2 linked regions of the Oryzias latipes genome follow. The protein of the gene in region 1 interacts with the protein of each later gene in a pairwise test. Links are inferred from orthologs where the notes say so. Each region holds a gene or a part of one and is shown on either strand. Other genes may lie near its edges.

Region 1 (9,451 bases):
TGTGAAATGCTGTTTTAATTTGAACTGGGTAGTTCTTGTTGGTGAGAAATCTATCCAGGCTGAGAAAGTGTGTGGGTTGGTAAAATGTCACCATGTTGTTGAAGTGTCTGAATCCAACTCTTTTAAATGTTTGTTTGGACCCCAGCTTCTTACATTTTGGATATAAACCCGTAAAAACAAACAAAAAAACCCCATCTTGTTTTATCCAAATTAAACAAAGCTGTTCCCACTTTTAAATATTTTGTAACCATCTGTAATGAGTAATTATGTTAATAATATTCTGTCTGCAACTCACTCAAATGTTTTACCCTCATTAAATTAATCATTTAAAAATCATTTAAATCAGTCATCTAAATGTTTTAGACAATTTTGCATGCCCTTGTTTCAGTGTTAGGGTTACAAAGCATAAACCTAATTTTTAAAAGCAGGTGAAGTTACTGAAGATGAGTTTTCTTTTATGAAATTAGTTTTCTTCTATAAACTGAGCTCAAAAGGTGCCAGAGACACACAACTGCTCAACTAAACTGAATATTAATACGTACAGTTGTTTTTTTTGTAATTAAAGTTATATCTTCAAGTCCCAAACTTGAACCAAACAATTACTCCACCACCAGCGTGGTCAGAGTTTGGTTTCAGTTTGGCTTTATGGGAAAAAAAGAAAAAGAAAAAGATGAAATCTTTTTATTTGACCAGCAGAGGGAGCTGCAGGGCTTCTCATTTCAAATTCAGCGAAAACTGTTTTGCTGCAGAACAGAAGGATCCTCTTTTCCTGCACCACAGTCAAGTGGGCTTTATCATGTTGTGCATTGTACCAATCAGGCTGTTGTCAATATACCACTTAACCTCTCAGATGATTTTCTTTTGTTTTGAATTCAGGGTTGTAATAAAGAATAGTTGAAGAAAAATAAAATAAAATAAACGAATATATATATATATATATATATATATATATATATATATATATATATATATATATATATATATATATATATATATATATATATATATATATATATATATATATATATATATATTCACAATATATTCACAAGTGCCGGCACACTGCTGGACGGTCAGTCGATGGCCAAAGACATACATGAGATCCAAGCATTTAATATTTATACAATAATATTAAACAATAAAAGAAAAAAATAAATAATACAGACATTTCTGAAAGCTTCACAAATGCCTGCTTTTTCCAAACTGAAGGGGAACCCCCCCTTTTATTTTATATCATTTTTTTAAATCATTCATATTTTTCCAGCAGCTTTTCACACTAATTCCCTTTTAACATTTTTAAAATAAAACGTGTGCTTATAAAATTACCAAATGAAAATTCCAACTATATTTAAAGTTGTTAAAAACAGCCTTGGTCTTACAGTTTATATTTAGTTGAAGCCATTAGAATGAAAAATGTTCAAAAGATAGGAAGTTTTTTGTTGTTGCTCTGGAGATTAATCTTTTGACAAACTGTCTCTCAAAATAATAGAGAGAAAAAAATCTAGAAACAGCTACAATATGTCTTTTAATTCAGCAACAATAAAATATGACTTTCAAAATTTACAGGATTTTTGGTACAATTAAATGTTGCAGACTTTAAAAAGAAATGATCAAGAGGAAATGATAAAGTCTGAATTTACACAACCAAACTGTTATTGTTTTCTTTAGTGACCTCAATTATTTTTAAAGCAATTTTAGCAATTTTAAAGCAATCTTGTGGAATTGTTTGATTGTGGCACAATTCCACAAAACCACCATAACATCCACTTTTAAGAAAAAAAGAGCTCACATATGAGTTCATTTCAATTCAAATTTTTTGAAAATGTATACATAATGTTTTATTTTTAGTATTGCTTCGCCTCATAATCAGTCTTTTAATATTAACTTCCTATTTTTGAACTGCTCAAACAGCACATTTATTTATAAATCTATGTATACACAGTAATTATTTTAAAAACTTTTATTAGATAGACAGATAGATAGATAGACAGATATAGTACTTTATTAATCCTGAGGGAACTTGCATTTATTTCCTTTTGAGGGATCCATACAGTTTTTTCTTTGCTGTTTTAATAATACTGAGTAGAACTCTTAGGTTCCTGACTTTTTCTTCTATTTATGCAACTTCCTTCTGGCAAAAATAGACGACAAGATTGAAGACTGTCGTCACAGTCACCACTATGTCAGAGAACCTTCACAAATGCTCAAAATGCTTTCACACTGGATAACTATTTTTCCTTTGAAGATTTGTGAACTGTTTTTATATTTGGCAGTCCTGGCATCTCTTTTTTTTATTTGAAATTTTGATTTGTAATTTTTTTAGTGTCTTTTTTCTACATGAATTAAAACTGAGAAGGGGAAGTAGAAATTTACCACACTGAAATATAGCTTTTAGACTTTAATTCTTCCTTCACCATTTTAACGGTGTTAACCTTTAAACAACCCAACCAAGACATAGCAATCAAAAAATATTTGTCTATTGCCTATTGCCTTAGGTGAATATACAAACAATCGACAGTTTAAAAAAATGTGTTTTCAGAATGTGCTCCACCATTTGGTTGACCAGGAAGTTAAAGGGATAAAAATGATGGAAAAGATCCCAAAACATATTGACATTTATAAGACAGACCCACATTAATTGTCATAACAATCCAATAGATTCATTCTTGTTTTATACCAAAAATCACAAGTTGTTTAGTTTTTACTCTTCTAATCTTCACATCTGTTTAGTTTCTAAGCAAGCTCTCAGTGCTTTTTGATACTGTTAATTAAAAAAATCATTAGATGCTTTTTATCCTGTGATGTAATAATAATTGTGTCTTTTAATACAAACTATGCAGTTAGGCATATTTTATGGGCTACGCAACAGAAATAATTTAATGAAAAAGAGAAAAACTTTGAGCTATAGAGTTAGAATAGAAAAATATATGTTTTAATGTTTTTGTGTCAAGTGGCAACTTTTGTGTTGGTAACTTCAAATCTGAGCTAACAGAAATTACATGTGGGGTGGGTTCCTAAAGGCTCCATCCTGGTGTAGCATTGCCACATATGTAAATATATATTTGGGATTGTCTTTTTACTGAAAAGAAAAAAGAAAAATCAGTATTGACTTTCCTTTGTTAACCCTGGCTAATATCATCCTGTCTATATGTTTATTTCTTAGGAGTTTATGTTGAATGAATAGCAGGGCAGGTTAAACTACATTGTCAAGAGAACAAATACAAATACAAATATTGTTTTTTTTTTGTTTGTTTGTTTTGTAATACTTGGATAATTGAAGAACGTTACACTGGGTCCACTTAAATTTAATGTCTACATGCTCCCACTTGCCAAAGAATGTTAACATCAGTTACCATAGCTATGCAGATGACACACATATGTATATGTATATTGACACCAGGAGATAGAGGCCCTGCACTGCCCTCAGTAAATGCATTGAGGACATCACAGCTAAACACATCAGCTAAACAAAAAAACAAAAAAAATTAAGGTTATTGTCTTTGGGGCTAAAGAAAACAGTTGTAGGTCTGAGCTTCAATCTTTTCATCTAAAAATACCAACCAGGCTAGAAACTTGGGGGTGGTGACGAACACAGACCTACATTTTGATAAACGCATTAAGGCAGTCACAAAATCAGCCTACCATCATCTTAAAAATAATCAAGGATTAAAGTTCTAATATCTAAGCAGGACCTGGACAAATTAGTTAATGCGTTCATCTTTAGTTGACTCGGCTACTGTAACATTGTTCTGACAGGACTACCAAAAAGTCAATCATGAAGCAGCAGCTTATTCAGAAATCTGCTGCGGATTCTCACAAGGACCAAAAAGAAGACCACATTAGTCCAGTTTCACACATCTTCACACTGGCTGTCTGTGCCAGAAAATAGGCTTTAATGGTCTGTTGCTAGTTTATAAAGCTTTGAATGGTTTAGCTCCAAAATACATGGATGACCTCCAGACCCAGAATCAAAACCAAACATGGAGAAGCTGCATTCAGCCTCTCTGCTCTACAGATCTGGAACATATTTGCAGGGAGCCTTAAATCATCTGAAAAAGTTTTTTTTAAATCCAGTTTAAAGACACCTGTTCTCAGCTGCATTTGATTAGTTTGTATTCAAAAGTTTACAGCCACTGTCAATCTTACTTGAAATTCAGTTCATTTTAACTTTCTTAAATGTTAGTTATCACACCTTTCCTTTTTATTTTGTTTCTTTTAATGCATAAAGCACTTGGAATTATTTTTGTACATAAAATGTGTCATACAGATTAACTTGTCTTGCCTTGATTTCCTTGAAGTGACTCAGATTTTCCTGCAAGATTCTGTCTAGACATTAGGGAACCTGAAAGTTGACACATTTCACTGTACAGATCATGTTTCTTTCTAGTGACTACAGGTCTGACATTGGAATCAAAATGAGAAGCAGGTGCAATTTATTAAATGGAAAAAACAACAACTTTAAGAATTGAACTAAAAAAAGAAAACTCTGCAACTGTTTTTTTGCATTGATTTAGTTTTTTAATGGATCCTTTGACGGGCACTCTAAAAACTTTTCCTACATTCTTGTGTACTTTTACATTTTACAGTTCCCCCCCCCCCCCCCCCCACACACACATATATATATATATATATATATATATATATATATATATATATATATATATTTTGGCGGTTTATGTTTATCTCTGGGTTTGCTCCTTCCTCTGGGTACGTCACAGAAACGTAGGTGAGCGTCCCGCACTGCGCGTGGGCGGCCGGTGGGCGGGGCACCGACAACGTGCTTTGTGTATACACTGCAGCATCAGTCAACAGAAACCAGCGCAACAGAGTAGTTCAGCGCCACCGAGCAGCAGAAGTTCCCAATTGAACGGACTGGTGACTGTCGCAGACTCCAGAGAAAACCGTTTCTGACATGCACTTTGATAAAAGTGAGTATGATTGTGTTTTTATCCTCCCTGCAGAAAGATTTATTTAGATTAGGTTGTTTAAATCTTAAAAATGTCTTAGTTTTGTAGTATTGTTTGTTGTATTTGTTTTCTATTGTAAGGGTTTTTATTTTGTAATTCTGGATTTAATAATCTCATAGACACCTAATCCCAAAACAATAGCATTTCAAAACAACACCAAACCTCTCACTATCATATAACGCAGTATAAATATTTCCAGCAAGTTTTGAAACTGTTCATTCAGATGTTTATTGACATCACAAATTCAAAACCCGTTTTGGGAATCCCTGATGCTTCTCCACCCTTGCCTGCATGCTTTCAATTCCCCTTTTCAGTGACTGTCACTCAAGCAAGTTGTCTGATGTGAAAGTGTAACTTGTTTTACTTATGCTTTTGTCTTCTTTTTCCTATTCATTCTTGTCTTCTGCGGAACCTGCCTGAGTGATCACAGACATACGTTTTGTTGTGCACGCCGTTTCTGTTTAACCTGAAAATGAGGAAACTGGTTATGCACTGCTTCTTTCTTTTGCTGAGGATCAAACCTAAAGAGAAAGGTCATTGGAATCCCCAACCTCCCACTCACATGACTCAATGTCCAGGGGTTTCCACAGCCCTATTTACATTTTACATAGACTGGCTTCTGTGGTAAGGTTAATCTGGCCTAGACCCAGTATTGGTGCATGTTGTGGTCCCCTTTTCTCTTGGACAAGCGATAAATGCCCCCCTTTTAGCTTCTTGTTTTTATGTGGGACTATAATGTATTGTATTGAGCAACTTCTATATGTTGTGAAACTCCTCGCTGTGAAGTCATGCAGCATCGTCATCAATTTAAAGGCCAAAATAAATTAAAAAGAAAACCTCAAATGAGTAAGGATCAATTCACCTGTAGTAACACCTTCTGTGTATGAAAATGAAACTTGGCGGGACAGAAATGTCAAAAGGGATGTCATAACCTTCTTTTGTTATTGATGACCTTTATCTTTAGCTGAGGGGCATTTAATGTCACACAGAGTAGCACAAAGATGTGCTGTTTCTCACAGCGTCACACATCAAAGTGAAAAAGTTTTTATTTTATTTTGAAAAGCAGCACAGACAGAAAACAAACTCAACACTGGTGTTTTATCTGTAAATTCGTACATTTTGAGTTATATTTATATATGTATATATATATTTTTAATCTACTTCAACTTATTGTAAACCTTTGAGGACAACTTGTTCTTTTCAGCGTGTGTATAAACAGGCCAAAACTCTAAAGTGGCAAAATATCTGTCTTTGGCATGTAGGTGAACAGTAAACGCAGGGCAACATGTATTGAGGTGACAAGCTTGTGAAACACCAAAGGAAGTGGTTTGCTTTTCTGTAGCGTAACGGAGTGAGACAGGAAGGTGTCACAGAAAATCAACAGTGGCAATCCCATGCTGAAGGTTTTCTGATGAAAATGATCATGGGTTTGCACGGCCACATGTGTGTTCCTAGTGGAGAAGGTTTCTCATCGTTTTAGCTTTGTTCTCTGGTTCCAAAGAAAGGGTGGAAAGAGACCCAAGGCGTTATCTTTCACGTGTGGGGTGAACTTTTTGAGGAAACAAGACTGTGTGGTCACACTGGAAACATCAGAATTCTCTTTTGTAGCATATTTTTGTCCTTTTTTTTTTTTAATTTCCTTTACCTGTTTGGTGGAAATGATACTTTGATAAAAGAAGCGGGGAAATGATTAGGTGTTGTGAAAATGTCACAGTGGAGAAGCTTAACAATGGCACTGTTTATCAGACCTAAACCTGTTTTTACAATTTGGACCTCACATCTATCACTAAGTGGTATTGTTGACACTGAACTGTAAAAAAAGTAAAACCCAATAGATCAGGGGGGTCAAACTCATTTTCACCAAGGGCCACATAAGGACGTTGTCCTCAAAGGGCCAGATATAACTTATACATGTAACTAAATGTAATGAAAAATAAACGTAACTACTCCTCAATGTTAAATAACTTATTTATTTATTTATTAAAACTTTTTAAATGACAATTACAGTTGCATAGAAAACATTATGTTTGCTTGTTACTCTAACATAAATTCTTTTAAATGTGATTGCGTCAGGTTAGGTTATATAGACATTGTTTAAGTCCTAATGTGTAGTTGTCCAATCCGATATTTGTAGTCCAATTTCCCCTAGATATGAATAAATACACACCAATTTTTATTTTAAATTAATAGAAATTAAAATCTTTTATGCTCTCGCAGGCCATATAAAATGACAAGGCGGGCCACATTTGGCCCGCGGGCCTTGAGTTTGACACATGTGCTCTAGGTCCACGAACGTCTTCGTTTCCCTCTTCCAGCTACATTTTTTTTTGGACCGGTAATGTTATGTTGGGGTTGTTAGAGTCTGTAAGCTAGCGGGAGAGCAAGTAAACTGACTGATGAGGGGAAGTGGGAGTGGTCTTACTCTGTGCCAACACAGAACTCAGGGGTGAATTTCTAATAAACTACTGACGCTCTGCAGAAACGATGTCCTAGAAAATGACAGTTTTTTTTGTGCTAAAAGCGGCCACATTTAGCCCGCGGGCCTTGAGTTTGAACACGTGCAATAGAGGGTCACAAAGGCAGCTTTTTAAAATATTAATATGTTGATGCGTCTTAGCAAATAAAGAAAAACAAACCCTTCTATGAAAAGTAAAAGCTCGTCATCTATCTTTGTAACAGTAAAAATTTCTATTTTTTCTATTTTGAAGTGTCCTTTTTTAAATTAAAAATATATGCGTTTTAAACTGGGGCACATTTGAGGAGATAACTTAAAAAAATAAAACACCGTTTGAAAATTTTAGCTGAGCTGGCTAGAACCTTCAAAGATTTGTATCTCTGACCAGATTTTTTTTTATACTTGTGCTCTTTATTAGACATTTCTACAGACAGAAAACAGGCCAAAATGGGGCATCAATGCACTATTGAAGAAAAAATGCAGCAAAGGGGCCACTGGCTGAAAGTGACAAATGCCCACCGTGAATGAGGACAGCTTCTGCACATGCAGGGTCTATTCCGGTATCTTTAGTGTCTGATGCACAAAAAGATTATCATCTAACCTAGATTCATTGCAAAAAAGGCACATTTTGATTCTGATTATTGAAATTTTTTGAATGTACTTTTAGGAAAGCATCACCAATTGTTTAGAAAGATTACAGATTACTTTAAAGATCAAGTCTTAAGGTAAAGTTGTAGGGAAATGGTAAGAGTACCAATGTTGGTGTGGAGCATGTGTCTTAATTTAGTCAAATATAAATTTTTCATTCTTTTCCACTGTTCTTAAGATTACGTCAAACATGGCAGTTCAAGCTAGAGCACAAATCAAAAGGATAATGATTTTCAACACAAGAAAATGCACCAACTTGATCAATATGACCCTAAAGACCCACTTTGATGACAATTCTGTGCATTTCTGAGTCTTTCCTTATTTAAATCTTTGTGAATCTGACGCAGATGAAAAAAATGAAAAAGAGCGTATCTGTGACGTAAAAAATATGCTGGGCGGGCCACAAACTCCCTGTTTCCAGCTCTCAGCAACAAGGAGAGCCAACGGTCCCGCCCACATCTCAGAGGTGAATTGCTGTGAACTCCTGCCGCTCTGCAGAAACCTTGTCCTAGAAGACGTTTGATGGGCAATGGTTGATGATTTATCATTTGTACTTGACTTTCTGTTGCAGAAAGTTGTATTCTTTTAGTGTTAATCTGTTGTAACTTAAAAAGCCAAAAATCTCACAATTTTCTTACTAAAATCACGTATTCTGCTTGGTATTGTTTCTTGTTGTTAGCGCCAAAAGAGAAGCCGTGTTGCACCCTGCCCACTGTGAAGAAACTCTTGGAGCAGAAGCGAAGACGTGAGACATCTGCTGTGCAGCCCCCCTGCTCTACTGCTAACACAAGTCCTATTGCACCAGCTGTTCTCTCAGTAAGTCAGCTTTACAAAGGGCTAACCCCCATGAGCATCAAATAATTTAGAGGTTCAGAGCATTGGTTAGAATGAGTATGTTCTAATCTATTCGTGCAAGATTTGTTGGCAATTCCAGCCTCTATGTTCACCTTTGACAATTTGGAATGATTGCAGCTCATCTTTTTGCCTCTTTCCTTCTCTATAGGAGTTATCCCCACCAGAGCCATTTACCTGCACAGGTAGGAGAGCTGGACCTTCTCTTTGCAAAATGTCAAAGATAAATCCAGATATTCATTATTGTTAGCAGAATATAACATTTTAACCTCTAAAGACGCAGGTTAATATTTCAGCTAACCCTCTACACACATTGTCCCAGGACCCCAATTAAGCAAAATTAACTACTGTGGTGATATAACCCAAAATGTGATGTCAACGCATGTGGATGCTAGGTCCTACGAGGTTAAAGATAACTAACTAGCATCTCTGTTCCAGGTGCAACAAGCAGTTACTCAGACATGGCAATGAGCTATGAGCAGTGGACCCCATCCCCTGAGCCTGCGCTCAGCTACTACACCAGCCACCC
Region 2 (8,770 bases), on another chromosome or scaffold:
GGATCTGAGTTCCACCGATTTGTCTTGAGTGCTAGCTTAGTTTTGACTTTTATGCTGTAGTTTACTTTCATCCCCTATTGTATCACCATGTCGGTGGCGTTTGCACCTCACAGGCAGCGGAAAGGTGATATAACAGCCGCTGGAATACAGAAGGTATTGCATCTCTTTTAGCGCGTCTCTTATGGAAGCTACCAGACGTTGTTAGCAGTTGAGATTGACAGTGTTCGTCCAAGTCTAACCGCGGACAGGTCGGGAACTATGTCACACGATCAGAGCGCGGAGAATACGAAACTCTCTTCAGTCGAGACGCCATGTTTACACGAAGCGGATTTAACAGACTGTTTGCTTAAATGATGAATGGAGGCCTGCAGGTTTGTTAGCAAACGAAAGCTAGCCAAGAAGACGAGTCTTTTGTTAGCGCACGCTCTCATCTCACAAACCCGCTTTCCTTTGTTTTGAAACTGCAACAATCTCACACCAAAAATCACAAAAATAGACCCCTACACCAACGACTCACATACTACCCAGCTCTTTGTTTATATTTATCAATTGATCACAGACGTCTTTTAAATGTTAGCTTTTATTTTTTGCAGTTACTTGATGAAAACAACCACCTGATCCAGTGTATAATGGACTTCCAGAGTAAAGGAAAAACAGCAGAATGTTCACAGTAAGTCCTTTAAAAGCCTTTGTGTTGAATGGGTTTCAGATCTGTTTGTTGAGTATAATAAATACTTGTCTTTTCCCCAGGTATCAACAGATGCTTCATAGAAATTTGGTGTACTTGGCCACGATAGCAGACTCTAATCAGAACATGCAGTCTCTCCTTCCTGCTGTGAGTACTCATCCTTGCCCATAGTTATTAGTCTGTCACTTTTTTAAACTGTACATTACGGTACATGCATATGATCCCCTGTGTACTTTAGGTGTCATAGCAGCAATGATAAAATACATATAAAGTCATACATGTATTTAATGAGAGATAAAAAAAGTTATGTTTAGATGAAAAGTAGATGAAAATAACTTTAGGCTGCACACTTATGTATTCTGGTTTATTAATGTATTTTTTGTGATGACTGTAACTACTTCACATGATCCAGCTCTTTTTAGGAATTCGACTGAGGATTTTTTAGTTTATTTTATAGTCTATTTTTTTTTTTTTTAAATAGAATAAAAGAACAAATTAAAATACGCAGAGACTTACTATTGTCACTTCTGTTTTAAAGACTAATTAATAGCTCTTCATGCTAGATCATTGCTAAGGGCAAAACATTAAAAGAGCAGACAGAAGTCTTAAAACAACCACAATAATAAATGTTTTCATTGTAAGAGATTAGGTCACTTGTGTTTTTACACCTCTGCATTTAACAGTTAAAACAAGTTTTTCAGCACTCCTGTATAACTTCTTTGTTTAATTACAGAAACACGTGTTGCTCTTTGCTATAAATTAGGGGTCAGTTTATGTATTTATCCAACAGAATATAAATTCAATTTACCAAACCAAGTCCACATTTGCATAGGAGTATTTGACTAGCGTGATGTATGCCCTTCAAGTTATTCTGGTTGTTTTGTTGATGAAACATCTTTGCTTTTAAAGCTCTCCGTCATACTGAAGTTCAGTCACTTAGACATTTTTTCTTTTCAATTATTAAAAAGGCTATTTGCTACATTCCTTTAATAAAGCCAGCAAGCATCTTTGATTTCATTAAAATTATATTTTAAAAGTAATTTTAAATATCTAGTTGTCTAATATCTACTTTCACCGTATTTAAGAAAGGTTAGAGATAGTTAGAGGGAAGGCAGTTACAGTCTGACTCTGTGAGCTAAAGAGTAACTTTGGTTCTCCTTTCCCAAAGATGCATTTTCATAAAGATTTATGAATTGTTTCTTACATGCCTTAAATTTTTGAAAAGTTTGTTTTTCTTTCTGTTTTTTTTTATGCATCCACATGGCATTGTATGTGGCCACAAGCACGTTTATTAAACGAGGTTGTTTTATTTGGCAGTTGGTCAATGTGTGCCTAAATGTCTTGCTAATCATACGCACATAAGTTTACTTTTACTTGATTTAGCTTTCTTTTTTTTGTTTCTTGTGATGATATGATTTTTCCCATTGATTGGTATATTTGTTCTTTTTTTTAATGCTTTCAGCCACCCACTCAAAACATGCCTATGGGCCCTGGTGGCATGACCCAAAGCGGACCTCCTCCCCAGCCCCCACATGGTCATAATATGCCCTCTGAGGGAATGGTCAGTGTTGGCCCCCCAGCCCCCCATATGCAGAGCCAGATGAATGGACAGATGCCTGGTAAGTCACTAACTCAATATGTCCTCCTCTGTCTTTCTTTCTTTTTCTTTTTTCTCTCCCAGTTTCTGTCTTGCTCAGGTTGCTTAGCAACACCGCAGAACCAAGAGGGAGGTCTTCTGCTAAAGGATGATGTCATTCGTTGGGGTGCTGTGATGGCCTTGAACTTGATTTTGACTTGATACCTTTTTTGTTTTCTTTTTAAGCACAAAAGTATACATAAATCTAAAAAATATACACGGGTATATATTTTATTGGAACTCTTTTTCTGGGTAAAGTTTAACAGATTTTATTGGGGATCAAGTCACTCTCCTAAAAATTACTCAACCATCTTTTTATACGAATTTGATGCTGTAAATATATAGCACATGTTTTCCGTGGACTTTTTTAACTAGTTAGAGAAAAGAACTGCATCCATCAGGGTTGCTTTAAAGGTTATGTGGAATCTCTTTCAAAGGCAAAGACTTCATTTTAAAGGCAGAAAGAGCTGTTTTACTTTAAAAATAGCTTTAAGAATTTGATCGATAACTATACAACTTTTTTCTGATACGCGTTTTAATTTTTTTACAATTGCAATCCAATCTTTTGTTTGCATATTAATGTGTTTAGACTTCCAGCAGATATTTATATCATCATAAACAAAATGATTTTTCCATCTACAGATTAGAAGAAGTTTCTGTAGTTCCTTCAGTGCATTTAAAACTGGCCTAAATTAGAAGATAAAGTAAACATAATTGCTAAAATGTTCATCCATCTGTAAGTTAAACTCGCAAGAACCTTTATGAAATCAAAAAATACAAACTCTAATTATTCCAAAGTTGTAGCATTCCACTAGAATTTTTAATGTAATACGGGAAAAATGGTCATTTCCATTAAGTTTTTATTAGAATAAATCAAACCAAAATCAGGCCACAGAAAAGTTATGTGTAAATTACTGTTTCACTCAATGTTCTTGACCTTCCATAACTATTTTGTGCTTCTTTTTTTTCTTTCAGGTCCTAATCACATGCCCATGCAAGGACCCGGTCCAGGCCCCAACCAGCCTCCAAACATGTCCAGTGGTTCCATGAACATGCCCCCCAGCAGTCATGGCTCCATGGGGGGTTACAATCATGCTGTCCCATCCTCTCAGGGGATGCCGGTTCAGAGCCAAATGAGTATGACCCAAGGCCAGCCAATGGGAAACTATGGACCTCGACCAAACATAAACATGCAGCCAAGTCAAGGTGAAGCAAGTTTTCCTGTCTTGCAATCCGTGGAGTTTTATTGATTTCTGTTGCGTCTTGCTGTGCGGGACTGGTGTTTGTGTATTAAGTTTAGCGCTGTTATCTATTATGGGTCTATTATAGGGAGATATCTAACTCATTTTGGGGTAATTCCAGGTCCGATGATGCATCAGCAGCCTCCGTCACAGCAGTACAACATGCCTCCAGGTAGTGGTGGACAGCACTACCAAGGACAACAGAACCCTATGGGTATGATGGGTCAGGTCAACCAGGGGAACCACGTCATGGGACAGAGGCCAATGCCCCCCTACAGACCCCCACAGCAAGGTATAAAGCTGTTAGTGGTCTTATGCATGGAAGTTTTGAAGTCCGATCTTCCCTGGAACCCTCCTCCTTCATCTCCCATTCTTTCTCTTCTCAATTTACCTTTCTTGTGGAGTTCACATACACCTTGATGCACCCTGAAGCATCAAGTCTTTTTAGATCCTAAGAGAACACGTCTCTCTAGAGCTCATGGCAGGGAGTCCATCCTCTCTACCCCACCCCCACATAAACCCATACCAACGACACCTTGAATCTACTTGTGTGTATGTTGTGTGTATGTAGGACCCCCTCAGCAGTACCCAGGACAGGAAGACTACTATGGGGACCAGTACAGTCACGCAGGCCAGGGAGCCTCAGAAGGTAGGTGAACCCACCAACCTCTGGGAAAGAAAGGCGATGCATCAGCCCAAAACTCATCAGTTTCTTGATGACTTTCTGGGGAAGCCAAATGTTTAGGGAATATGGCATTTTTTTAAGAATTCCCCAAAATTGGTCATTTCACACTAGAATCACAGCAGAAGCCTATTATGGTACAGTATTCCCCCCTTATTCGCGGGGGTAAGGAACCAGAGACATCCGTGAATACGGAGAACCCCCCCACCCCTGTGGCTGGAGAATGTCCGTCACCAATCCTTACTCATTAAAAACCCTTCTGAAACTTTTCTGATGCTTCGTAAAACATTTATTAAAAAGCACTGAAATATTGCTCAGCATAAAGATTTTTTTTTACATTATTCAGAGCAATAGACTGACCACAGCGTACTTTATAATGCACTCCAGCCCCTTCTTTGGACGCAAAAGTCTTATACAAGCGTCTTGAGCTGAGATTTTGTGATGAACTGGAGTGCTAATAGTGAAACGCGAATACACGGGGGAACACTGTATACGAAACTCTTTTCTGTCTTTGTTCAATTAACATTCCCTTTTTTTTCCTCTACTGACTCTCCGTTTCTCTACAGCCTTTCAGAGTCAGATGTTTTTAAAACTAAAAACAAAACTCTTGACCTGTTTTTGTTTATTTGTTGTCTATATTCTGTGATCTCCTCTGTGAAGCTGAAACACTACAGCTAGAATATACAGATATTATGGTAGTAATGTCATAAAATAATATGCAATGTAAGTGGTATTTTACTTGTTTGACTATGTACTTATTTTATGACCTCATGTATTATTTGACTCAAAGTAAAAAAATAAATAAAAAAAAGGTTATATTAGCATCTCCTATTTTTAGATTTTCTTTTTTTTTATTCAAATTCCATAAAATCGCTTTAAAGTTGCTTTGTATACCCCTGCATGAGTGTATCTTCATCACTGTACCCTCTCTGACTTGAAGGTAATGCCCAGTATGGCCAGCAGCAGGAAGCATACCAGCAAGGCCCCCCTCAGCAGCAGGGTTATCCTCCACAGCAGCAGTACCCAGGTCAGCAGGGCTACCCGCCACAACAACAAGCTTACGGTGAGTCCATTCAGAAACCCAGAAAGCCACAATGTCCCACTGGAATGCAGATGGGTGAAATAACCAAACAGTGAACATGTCTTGACATAATCAAATATTGAGGAGATTGGAGCTTAGTGGAAAAATAAATCATTAGTGCTTGTTTTAGCATGTCAGTTTACTTTAAAAACTATTCTTCAGGAATCAGAGGACCGCTTACTGATTTCAAAACAATTTTTTGTAAACTCTAAAATTCAGAGCCAGTCCAGATAAACTAACATTTGGGATTTTTCAGATGTTTTTGCTCTAAGGATCTTTTAGAACTAATGCCATCAACAACAACAAATAAAACATTTATTCTAAAGGTCCGCAACTACATTATTATTATATCTTTTTTTTTTGCAGAATTAAGAGGCACATTTTTTTTTTAAATACTGCATAAACAAACCTTAAACAGTTTTCTCTAAGAATAGAGCCTTATTTTACTTCAAACTCTTCAGGTTTTACTTAGTTTTCCTATAATTAGTTTAGTGTCTTAACAAAAATATTAAACCACAAATAGACTTGTTGTTAGTTCTCTAATATGTAACAGCGTTTAATAAATCTAAGTGAATGATGGACAGATCCAAGCTAATAATAGAGAATGTAATAAAGAATACATTTTTAATAGAGTATGTAATAAATCCTTACGAAATAGTAGGTTTTACAGACAAACTTGAAATGTTTCCTGGTAAATCTCTCTGGAGTATCGGTAACACCTGCCCTTGTAAGTGGACATGGGCTGTCTGAGGGCAAAAAAATGGGCAAACCTGAAGGGGGCATGCAGATGGTAGACTGCTCCATGAGCCCATATCAAGAAAATGTTCATGCACATGTGTTTCTGTAGGCCTGATGCGGGCGACTGGTCATAGGGAAGAGTTGCACAACTCATATTTAAGTAAGGGGGAAGTTGGTGAGATGCGTCTATTCAAACCACCCCTACGTTGGTTAGTGTGTGCTCCTTACGAGCAGCCTGCCTGCTCCAAATGAGAAAATGAAACAATTATGCGAGTGTCCTATTTGTATTTACATATCACCAGCACACCTTTGCGTGCAGCGTTTGCGTGCGGTTAGTAAGGAGCCAGGACGCGCACCTTGCTGAAGACTAGAGTGCGGGGTTAGGTCGCTCTAAGTGTGTGGAACTTGCATTATCCTTACAAAAACTTGACAGTACACTTCCCAACACGCAGGGAAATCGTACATTCCGCTCTCATGACATCCCTTAAGATGGCCTCAGGACACACATGTGCTCGCCTTAAGACGCAGCCGCTCCTCTCTACGATCCTCCATCGCCCTGGATAGCCTGTTGCACCTGTACGCGTCAATAGGCTATCCGGGTTTAAGCATTTACTTAAAAAAAACAAAAAAAAGAGTATAGAAATAAACATGATTTAATCAGGATCTGATATCATTTGAAGTGTGGGTTTACTTGCAGGAGCTCTTAAGGGATTTCTCTTTGTGGCAGTTTTCTCTAGAACTTTCTGTCAGTTGCCCTCTTTGTGAGCCAGAGCTGTAGTTATTAATGAGCCAGCTGAGATGCCGAGGCTGTGAGGTGAGATCCATCTGGCACATACACACGCCTGCTCTCTCAGGCTCCCACAAGGTTATGCACAGCAGCATAAGGCATTAGGAGGGCCTAACGATGCTGCGTGGGCCTCATTTGACTTCCACCCAAGTCTAGTTTGCTCGGTCCTTCACAGTATCGGCAAAGATGGCTCCTGTGTACAGAGCTGGATTATAAATAGGTCTCTCTCTCTCTTTATACATATATACATATTTATTTTCTTTAGCTTGTTTTTTTTTTTATGTGTAACTGCTCCCTGACCTCAGTGTGACTCATTTGGTTGCATCCATAACTTGCTAACATGTTTCAGAAGCAGCCTAGGCAAATATTTGATATTCTTCTGTCGGTTGATCCTTGCTATAAAGCAGTGCTTCTCAAATAGTGGGACACGCCGATGCGATGCCAGGAGGGGCGCGCGGTAGTGGCGGTTTTAGGCACAGGTAATACGGGCAAATGTCCGGGGCGCAAATTTAACATGGGGGTGGTGACGACAGCGGCTCAGTGCGAGGAAAAAATCTGCGCCACTATTCGGTTCCTATTGTCTGTTAAATCACACACAGAGTTTGTAACAGCCTGAAACTTTTGAATCCCCGTCCCTGCAGCTGCGCGCTCCCGTCTCCTGTCACACGCGTGTGTGAGAACGAAAGGGGAGGGGTAGTAGGCTCAGGCTGCCAGGTGAAATGGGGCACGCGGAGAGCTGCAAGCACTGCCTGGATTAGCACCACCAGGATCATCACATGCTTTTAGATTACTCAGTTCATGCTAATAATGTCATCCTTCATTAACTGTTATAGATATTTTGATGACATCTTTATTTTTCATAAATGTATTTTTTGTCTGCCTGTCGTTTAGTTGGTGTCAGTATTTGAAATAAAGACAGCAGGTAATGCAGGAAAACCGCTGCACTTTATGAGATCATAAATAAACAATCCATCATTTAGAAAAACATCAGCACAATGTTTTTATCTATCTCTACAGACTAAAAAGGTTAAATATATTGGTGCTGCTCTGTTAATGTTTCAGATCAATTTACATTTAATATTATTGATTGACTAAATTATTTTTCTCAGCATCAAATGGTTCAGTTGGTCAGAATGTTTCTATTTTAAATAAGGACTGATAGATTTTTTTATTTCAGGCACTTTAAGCTTTTTTCTTTTAGACTATAACTGGGTTTCTGTGGCTAAATAAAGTCAATATTTGTTGAAAATTATTTTTATTGCTTTTTTTCTTTTGTTAGTGTTAAAAGATACAACTTTAGGGATACTTACACACATTTTATAGATACTAACCTAATATATTGTCACTTGGGTCAATTTCTCACTTCACCATTCAGAAGAATAAGGCTTCAAAAAGAAAGTAGTGAACATGGTGTCCGAATTGCTTTTATTGTTGGAGCATTATGGGTACTGTAGTCAGGTTTCTCACTGAGTGATGCATACTGTCCTTCAACTGTCTGTGAATGAGTTGAATAAAGTTTACTTCTAACTTTATAGTCACTTATATTAAAAGCTTGTTGTTTTTCTTTAACCAGGGATCCACAACGGAGGTGGAAAAGTCACGTTTAGACCCCTATTTTAGCTGAACAACTAGTCCTTTGGTTCAGACTGACAAAATTAAGACTTTTGGTTTATCAGAAATGGAATGTGTTGGTTTTTCAGTTAGCCGTCCTTTTAAGAGCGCCACCTTACATCTGTTTGTGCTCACTTTAGGCCCCTCCCAAAGTGCTCCGGGACAGTACCCTAACTATCCGCAGGGGCAGGGCCAACAGTATGGGGGCTACCGTCCTCCCCAGCCCGGACCCCCTCAGGGCCAGCAGCAGCGCCCGTACAGTTACGACCAGGTGAGTATAGCAGCAGTCACCGGATTGTTTGGAAT

The links.
Region 2: the proteins of nfkbid (region 1) and ss18 interact in a two-hybrid assay, tested with the Homo sapiens proteins (2 studies listed by BioGRID and IntAct). The two-hybrid records come from large-scale screens. The link is inferred for Oryzias latipes from reciprocal best matches to the Homo sapiens genes NFKBID and SS18.

Annotation. Positions count from the first base shown.
Region 1 is NC_019874.2:15,536,426-15,545,876, reverse strand, and holds the start of nfkbid (NF-kappa-B inhibitor delta), read left to right. Parts: upstream 1-4,812; 5' UTR 4,813-4,912; coding exon 4,913-4,928; intron 4,929-8,749; coding exon 8,750-8,886; intron 8,887-9,073; coding exon 9,074-9,107; intron 9,108-9,360; coding exon 9,361-9,451. UniProt on the Homo sapiens protein: Regulates the expression of IL-2, IL-6, and other cytokines through regulation on NF-kappa-B activity. Functions in the regulation of inflammatory responses.
Region 2 is NC_019875.2:25,753,353-25,762,122, reverse strand, and holds part of ss18 (protein SSXT), read left to right. Parts: 5' UTR 1-87; coding exon 88-153; intron 154-240; exon of another isoform or gene 241-350; coding exon of another isoform or gene 351-371; intron 372-593; coding exon 594-670; intron 671-750; coding exon 751-835; intron 836-2,150; coding exon 2,151-2,307; intron 2,308-3,299; coding exon 3,300-3,530; intron 3,531-3,686; coding exon 3,687-3,857; intron 3,858-4,136; coding exon 4,137-4,214; intron 4,215-5,187; coding exon 5,188-5,310; intron 5,311-8,604; coding exon 8,605-8,735; intron 8,736-8,770. UniProt on the Homo sapiens protein: Appears to function synergistically with RBM14 as a transcriptional coactivator. Isoform 1 and isoform 2 function in nuclear receptor coactivation. Isoform 1 and isoform 2 function in general transcriptional coactivation.